Linked DNA regions of Callithrix jacchus. The protein of the gene in region 1 purifies or fractionates together with the protein of each later gene. This does not show direct contact. Links are inferred from orthologs where the notes say so. Each region holds a gene or a part of one and is shown in the gene's direction. Other genes may lie near its edges.

What was found.
Region 2: the proteins of CCT7 (region 1) and DCAF7 purify together in Homo sapiens (affinity purification with mass spectrometry; 4 studies listed by BioGRID and IntAct, counting the BioPlex papers as one, with this or other methods). This does not show direct contact. The link is inferred for Callithrix jacchus from reciprocal best matches to the Homo sapiens genes CCT7 and DCAF7.

The regions. Positions count from the first base shown.
Region 1 is NC_133515.1:41,419,088-41,422,896, forward strand, and holds the end of CCT7 (T-complex protein 1 subunit eta), read left to right. Parts: intron 1-252; coding exon 253-350; intron 351-694; coding exon 695-827; intron 828-1,601; coding exon 1,602-1,808; intron 1,809-2,729; coding exon 2,730-2,951; 3' UTR 2,952-3,101; downstream 3,102-3,809. UniProt on the Homo sapiens protein: Component of the chaperonin-containing T-complex (TRiC), a molecular chaperone complex that assists the folding of actin, tubulin and other proteins upon ATP hydrolysis.
Region 2 is NC_133506.1:88,827,276-88,831,813, forward strand, and holds the start of DCAF7 (DDB1- and CUL4-associated factor 7), read left to right. Parts: upstream 1-1,531; 5' UTR 1,532-1,760; coding exon 1,761-1,898; intron 1,899-4,538. UniProt on the Homo sapiens protein: Involved in craniofacial development. Acts upstream of the EDN1 pathway and is required for formation of the upper jaw equivalent, the palatoquadrate. The activity required for EDN1 pathway function differs between the first and second arches.

The DNA.
Region 1 (3,809 bases):
GGAGGGAGTATAAGCTGAATTGAAGGGGTCCCTATCTCCTTTTAACTTGTCCTGTTTGAAGTGTTTTAGTTCTATTTTGTTTTTTGCTCTTTCAGAGAGAGGGAAGGGTTGACTGGAATCAAGGGAAAGGGCGGGTAATCCAGTGCAGAGGCTCTGGGGGCATGCGTGGGAATTGGCTCTGAGACAAGGTGGCAGGAAGCTGCCTGGCCTTGGGAACCTTCACTGCTAGATCTTGCCTTCTTTGCTCCTTAGGCCTGTGGAGGTTCAATCCAGACCAGTGTGAATGCTCTGTCAGCAGATGTGCTGGGTCGATGCCAGGTGTTTGAAGAAACCCAGATTGGAGGCGAGAGGTGAGCTGTGGGCCCAGGCTGAGCTCACAAACCTGCCTGCGTGTGACCTTCTGCCATCTTTCAGCTGTGATACACAGCTTGTATTGTTCTTTTTACAAAGTCTCACCTTTGGGTCATAAAGAGCTCAGATATATATAACATTACAGGAAGGTCTAAAGTCTTAACTTCACAATCTTTTATGCCCTAGTAGTATAGCTGCAGACCTTTGCAAGAAAATGTCTGTAAGTTGGGATTGGGCAATCTGAGTGAAGAATGTCAGAGTGTTAGGAGGGCTGGCAGTGAGGACAGTACAGCAGGATGGTGGCAGACAAGTTCATGTGTGTACTATTTAATCCTGGGCATAGGTACAATTTTTTTACTGGCTGCCCCAAGGCCAAGACATGCACCTTCATCCTCCGTGGCGGTGCTGAGCAGTTTATGGAGGAGACAGAGCGGTCCCTGCATGATGCCATCATGATCGTCAGGAGAGCCATCAAGGTACTGGGCTGATGGCCTCCTGCCTTCACAGCCTACCCTATCCCCCTAGCTGATCAGACCTTGGATTTCTGTGGTAATTCCTTCTCTATATAATCTGCCCTTTCCTGGGTGGTGTGGTGAGCCCTGATTTGCCCCACAAATGGTAGAGAAACTGAGCCTCAGTTTCTTAAAAAGTAGGTCATCCTGCCTTGAAAGCTAAGACTTGTTCTTTTAGCCAGGCATGGTGGCTCACACCTGTAATTCTAGTGCTTTAGGTGGCGGAGGTGGGAGGGTCTGGAGGCCAGGAGTTTGACACCAGCCTAAGCAGCATAGTGAGACCCTGTCTCTACAAAAATAAATTTTAAAAAATCAGCCAGGCATGGTACCATATGCCTGTAGTCACTCCCAGCTATTTGGGAGGCTGAGGTGGAAGGATCCCTTGAGCTCAGGAGTTAGAGGCTACAGTGAGCTATGATCACACCACTGCACCCCAGCATGGGCAACAGAGTAAGCAGAAGAAAAAGACTTGTTTTTGTTAGCAAACTGGAATTAATGTAATCAGATATTCTCGTGATTGTTCCAGTGTCCTTGGGCTGCAGATGACCTTGAAAATAGAAACCATAAGGCTCAGGTTGGAATATTCCAGACAGGGGCCATCTCTGGGCTTCTGGGGTTTGGGATGGAGGAAGGAATGAAGAACCACTCTTTCTTGGCTAAAGGGACTTGCTGAGTGGCCCAGCATGGAAGCCTGAACCAGGGGCTCTCTTACATTGAGAGGTGGTCTGATCTCTGCAGAATGATTCAGTGGTGGCTGGTGGTGGGGCCATTGAGATGGAGCTCTCCAAGTACCTGCGGGATTACTCAAGGACCATTCCAGGAAAACAGCAGCTGTTGATTGGGGCATATGCCAAGGCTTTGGAGATTATCCCACGCCAGCTGTGTGACAATGCCGGCTTTGATGCCACAAACATTCTCAACAAGCTACGGGCTCGACATGCCCAGGTGGGTCCTTTCTCTCCCCCGGGTTCAGGGTTTGGGTTGGTGGGGCTAGATTCTGAATGTGAACTGTGCTTACTTAAGCTGTGCATGCTTGGCCCAGGAGATAGGCTGCAACTCTACCCAGCCTGTCTGCCTGACCAACTGCCTTCTCTGAGGGCAGAGGGAAAGCCATGGTGTCAGCATTGGAGATCCAGGGTTTCTTCATTGCTTCTGCCAAGCGTATGATTGCTCCTCATGGAACCACAGGAGGAATCCAGCGGCACCTTCCTGGAAGCATGCACTGACCACAGGGAATGGGCTTATCAGTGTAGTGGTGAAGCTCTCCAGAGCCTTGCTTACCTGTGGCCTTGCTGGGGCTTCACCACCAAGTGTGACCCTGGGCTAGTTACTTCAACCTTTCTGAGAGTTTAACTTCTCCATTTATTAAATAGATAGGTTTGTTAAGTGCTCAGCACCGAGTGAATGACCCTGCTTCTGGCTTGTATTAGGACTTTTGCTTGAAGTCACTTTACCTCTGTGTCTCCCTTTCTTCATCTATAAAACGGCTTAATTGAAGCAATGAGATGAGAGATTGGATAGTAGTTTTGTTATTCTTGTTTATCTTGAGATCTCATTGTTTGATATATATATATATAGTCCTCAGGTGACCTGAGGATGATGCCACCCCAAAACACAACAGCTTGCCTGGGAGGAGATCCCAGAGGTCTGGTGTGGTATGTCCAGGGATAAAGGGAGGAGTTGGCGGGAGTAGGGATGTCCCCAGATTCCTGACATGTTGCCACAGGAAGATGCAGTACTCTTCGGGGAAATGCCATCAAGTTCAGACAGTCTGAGGGTTCCTAGCAGTGTCTTTTGGAGTACCAGTTTACAAGAGGAAAGTTGAGTGCAGTTCCATATTACCTCCTTTCTTTTCTACTCTTTCAGGGGGGCACATGGTATGGGGTAGATATCAACAACGAGGACATTGCTGACAACTTTGAGGCTTTCGTGTGGGAGCCAGCTATGGTGCGGATCAATGCCCTGACAGCAGCCTCTGAGGCTGCGTGCCTGATCGTGTCTGTAGATGAAACCATCAAGAACCCCCGCTCGACTGTGGATGCTCCCCCAGCAGCTGGCCGGGGCCGTGGTCGTCCCCGTCCCCACTGAGAGGCACCTCATGCATCACATGACTGGCTGGCTGCTGGGTGCACTTATTCTCCTTGGTTTGGTTACATGATTTTGCAATGAAGGGGTAGTAATTGGCCCACTGTCTTCTCACTGGAGGCTATTTAAATAAAGTGTCAGATTTAGGATTAAGTTTGTAAATTATTTTGGCACAGTACTTACATGTCTGGCTGTAGCTCAGAATTTTAGCTTTGCATGCACTTGTCCAACAAGGAGACGAGCATCCTAGGGTGAGCTGCACTAGAGTGGCCCCTGTCTGGAAGTTTGACTGTGGTTGCATTCTTCGTTCCAGAAGTGGCTGGACAATAGGGAGTTGCTTTCCGGCATCATCTTATTTAGCCTTGGCCTAGTCAGATACTGCTCCCAGGGTTTCACTGGTTTGAGTAAATGGATTACATTACCTTTTCTGCCCCTTCTACCTCCATATTCTTTTGGTTTAGTCTTCTGTTCCCTCTTACTCAAGACTGAGGGGGGTGTTTAGGGAGGTCTCTCATGCTCTTTAAACTCTGGTGATCCCTTGGAAGTCCACTAAGGAGATGACTGAAAGCACCCACCTGGTCTTCTCAGTTTAGTCCCCAGTGATCCTGGTGTTTCTGCTTTCTTGTGGCCAATGCGAGTTTGGAATGCCTGGCACTGAGGAGCTGGAAATCCAGCAGTATCTAACATCCTCCTCGTTTACACTGGTCCTGATAGCTGGCCTACACCCAGCTGTAGTTGGTCACTGTTAAAGTTGGTGGTAAATGATGTCACTGTCAGCCATTGAGGCTTGCTAGCTAAAACTGGAAAGTGATTTTTTAAAAAAATTCTCTGAACCTAGCCACTCCTGGTTAGATGCACTCA
Region 2 (4,538 bases), on another chromosome or scaffold:
GGTATACCCCTAGAATCCCAGCTATTCAGGAGGGTGAGGCAGGAAAATAGCTCGAACCTAGGAGGTGGAGGTTGAGGTGAACGGAGATCAGGCCACTGCACTCCAGCCTGCCCAACAGAGTAAGACTCCATCTCAAAAAAAAAAAAAAAAAAAAAAAGTTTCCTTCCATCTCAGGAAAAACAAAACAAAAAGCATTTCTTTCCTTTTTAAAGTGGCTACAAAATTTGTTCACATAAGAAGATAGGACTAACAGGGGTTATCTTATATAGCATTGTCCCTCAAGTCTTTGAATTGTCTGTTAAAATCAGTTATCATTAAAAATTATATTTAGTGGCCAGAATGGTGGCTCAATCCTGTAATCCCAGCACTTTGAGATGCTGATGTGGGAGGACCGCTTGAGCCCAGGAGTTCGAGACCAGCCTGGGCAACATGGAGAGATCTCATCTCTACAAATAGTAATTTAAAAATAGCTAGTTGTGGGGGCGAACGTCTGTGGTTCTAGCTACTCTAGAGGCTAAAGTCGGAATCGTTTGAGCCTAGGCTGTGAAGGATACAGCCCTTATCCCACCAGTGCACTCCAGCCTGGGTGACAGGGCGAGACCCTGTCTTTAAAATATATATATATATATTTAATGTCCCACAATTCGATACAAACCTCCTTCAATTTTGATGAAAGCTAAGAATTGGAAACCATTTATAAAGGTTACTTGGTCTCAGGCCCTTCTCCCTCTCAAACACATAAGCACAGATACCTTTGGGGCTGGATTAGCATTTGCGTTGGGATCCACGGCGGGGAGGTAACAGGATAGGAACCAACAAAAACATAACCAAGCTGGTCTCGTTGATGCCTACCCTAGAATTCGGGGACATTCCTAGATCCTACAGGAAAGCGCCGGAGCGCCTGACTCAAGCTGGCCTGACCCTTGGCGCATCTGCACGCCCGAAGCCTGTCCCTGGGGCACGAAGAGAGCAGCTTTCGGGTTAAAGGGGCCGCGGGACCAGAGGGAGCGGGAAGGTGGTTCCCGCTGGGCACTGACCAGACTGCCAGGCCGCGGGGCTAGGTCCCGCAACATTCAGAAGAACTGTACTAAGGCAGAACTGTACTTTTACTCGACAGCGTGGAGAGGCCGCTTAGAACAGCGGCAGCAGAGGGGAAGTCGGCTCAGGTCACAGATGGCTTCACTCTCGGAGACTTGGCCTAGAACTTGGAGGCCCGCCGCCCCCGCGCACGCTCGCTTCAGGTCACCCACTCCCCACCGCAGACCCTGCGCCGTTATCTGCCTGACTGACAGCCTGGCCAGCCAATGACCTTTGGGGCTGCCAAAGCCCCTGCCTCCAAGAGTTAGGCGGGGCGAGTAGGTGCAATGACAAACATTTAACCCAATAGCGAAGAGCTTTTAGACGCTACGGCCGCAACAACCAATGAGAAGAAAGAACCCTTTCGAAAGGACGTGTGAGGCAACCAACTGCTGGTGCCGCTGCGGGGGTCCTGTGGCTTCCGTTCCGAGAGGGCGGGGCGGCGTCCCAAAACGGAAGGTGGTTGTCGTCTGTGCCCAAGCTGGTTTGAAACTAGGGGTCGGGCTCGGCCGTCGTCGTTGTTTGTTGTCGCAGCTCCGCTTCCGGGGGTAGGCCGTTCCTGACCGCCTCCTCCGCTACTCCCTTTGGACCCATCGGTCTCAGGCCCGGCTCCCCGCCCGACTCGTACCCCGCACGCCGCAGCCCGCTGTTGACCCGGCCCGCACTGCTGCCCTGCAGCCACCATGTCCCTGCACGGCAAACGGAAGGAGATCTACAAGTATGAAGCGCCCTGGACTGTCTACGCGATGAACTGGAGTGTGCGGCCCGATAAGCGCTTTCGCTTGGCTCTGGGCAGCTTCGTGGAGGAGTACAACAACAAGGTGGGCCGGGCAGGGGCTCGGAACCCAGCTGGCGGGGAGCGGGCCCCGGGAGCGCCCTTTCCGGGCCGGAGCCCAGGCCCCAGAACCCTCTTACGGACTTGCCTTAGAGGCACGGAGCGGTTCCTCTGTCTCGCCCAGTGTTGAAGGTTTCGTATTCGTTGTCTGTCATGTAATCCAGACAGCATTTTTGTGTAGTCGACAGTGTAGTGGGGCAGCTGAGGTACGGTTTTGTAACTTGCCTGGGTCACGCAGCTATTTCGTGGTGGAAACAGGTCTAAACCCACGCCGTTTATTCCTCCCGTGCCCTCCACTCCTGCAGCATTGCTTTCGTTGGTGGGCGGGGAAGGAAAGAGGCAGTGATAGCTGTGAAGGAAAATGCAGGCGCTTCCATTGATGGTCGTGCACTCGTGGCCACACTACATTTCTATTAAGGCGATTTATTGTACAGGCTTCCCCGCCCCTTACTCCCACCCCCCGGTACTCATGTATCCTAGCCCTTCTGCCAAAATTACTGTTGTCCTTGATTCCTGATACGCATTCTCTCTAAAGCAATCTCTTTGGAAATCTTGGCCTGTGGCATGATCCCGCCATTGTTTCCTGAACAGAGAAGGATGACAGGGCCTTATCTCTTGGTTTGTTTCATGCTAGTACAGTTGTGTAACTTGTAGTAGTAAGTCTTGCTGGACATCCATCAATTTGAGAATGCTTTATAGAAGCATGGTGTAGAGGGGAGCTTTTAAACTGGCATTGCAATGTTATTTTTGAAAGTTGAATAAGTGGCAAGAATTTTCTTTCCTTTCTGTCTTCCTTTTATTCAGTTACAGTTGTGAATGATAGCGATCAGAGCCACTGAAAGCCGTGACTAGTGATACTTAAAGCTACTACTCCTGCTCTGTGCCATGAACATCAGATTTAAGAAGAATGAAACCGTGTTCAGTGACAAGGCTGATGCAGGGGGAAAAAAGCCAGGTGGTCTAGGAGCGGGTCCCATCTGGTTATTGACTAGCTGTGAGGTGTTGCACAGGCCTGTTTTATTATCTGTGACCCACAGTTTGCTGTAGGAAAGGGATTCTGGTTTACATGTGAAGGTCTTGTAAAAAAAAAAATTTGAACATTTTACAGTTTGTTTACAGTTTTTCAGGAGCACATTTGTGTCTCGGAGTAGGTCGTCTTTGGAGTCCCCTTTGAGAAGCTGATGAAAGCGATGGACTCTCACTGTCTGTACATTACACATACATGAACAATTTACAAACAAATCCCAAGGAATATGCACTGATCTTTAAATCCACCCACTTTATTTGCTATCTCTGATGCTTCTTTCTTCCTTATGGCCCATAGTGGACAGCAGAACTGGGAATGGGATTCAAGGTTCTGATGTGGACACCGGGTTAGTAAAAGTAAGACCACTAGAACTATTGTTTAAGGATACACGTGGAAAATAAAAAAGCACGTCTTTTAAAGGGCTTGAGTCTTTTCACACAAATTAATGTTTTTTTCTTGTAAGTTTTTCCAGGGTCATTGGGTAAACAATAGTCCCATTTCCCAGAGAGGAGAAACTGAGCCACAGTTAGGCTGCTGGTAGAATCAGTGGATTAATTGGTGTCAAACTGCCATTGCGGGAACTCTACCCCAAAGTTTGTCCTTTCATTTAGCAACTATCTGAAGCTTTCTCTTTGCGCCAGGCACACAGGTAGCGTGGCTTAGTAGTGAAATGCAAACTAATAATGCCAGTATCAACAGCATAAGCAATTAACTGTATCTTAACTCAAATGATATAGCCAATGGTCATCTGATACCAATAGACCCCTTCTCACAGTTCTATTTTCAAATGCATGAAACACATAGAGTTACAAAAGAAACCACTTACATTGCGCTACAGATGTAAACGTTTTTTAAAAGTGGCGATGTAGTCATATGTACTTTTAATAAATTAACTCATTGATTTATACCGTCCAGTGTAATTGTTAACATAATTTTGAAGTGGTGACAAGGGTTACCAGGTTTTCAAGATGTTGAACAATGGCTCCGTGATGGGGAAAAAATATTTCTCTTGCTGGCAAAGTCACAGGTACTCATGCCACTGTGAGTAGCTAACCCTATTTGTAATTGAAACAAAAAATTTTAGCTAGAGGTTAATGGAAATATGAGTGTACTTCTCCAATTCAAGTTCACAGACCCCAAGTTAAGAAACCCTGCGAGAGAGGATTGTGTCTAGTGGCTGGTGAGCAGCAAATCCTGCCTTAAAGCAGTGATTCTCAGGCTAAGTTTGTGAGAAACCCTGCCAGAGAGGTAGCCGACTTCATAATTTGAAGGAACTTTAGAATTATTGGTTGGAATTTTTAGACCATCGGTTCCTGCTTGCCATGGATAGTGATTGCCAGCAGAGGACGAAGTAAATGGGCACAGCAAATTAACATTGATGAAAAAGGCTAGAAATGGTCATCTTTTTAGTGTGGAGACATTCACTAAGAAAACATGGTTATAATTTTTAAAATTTGGTATTAACATAATCATGTTTTCCTAATGTAAAATTGTTCCTAGTTGATTAACATTTTTTAGGAAATTGAATTCCAGTTGTTCCTTCATGTGAATAAATTTGGGAACCGTTGTGGAGTAAAGAAACAGATTCTATCAACTACA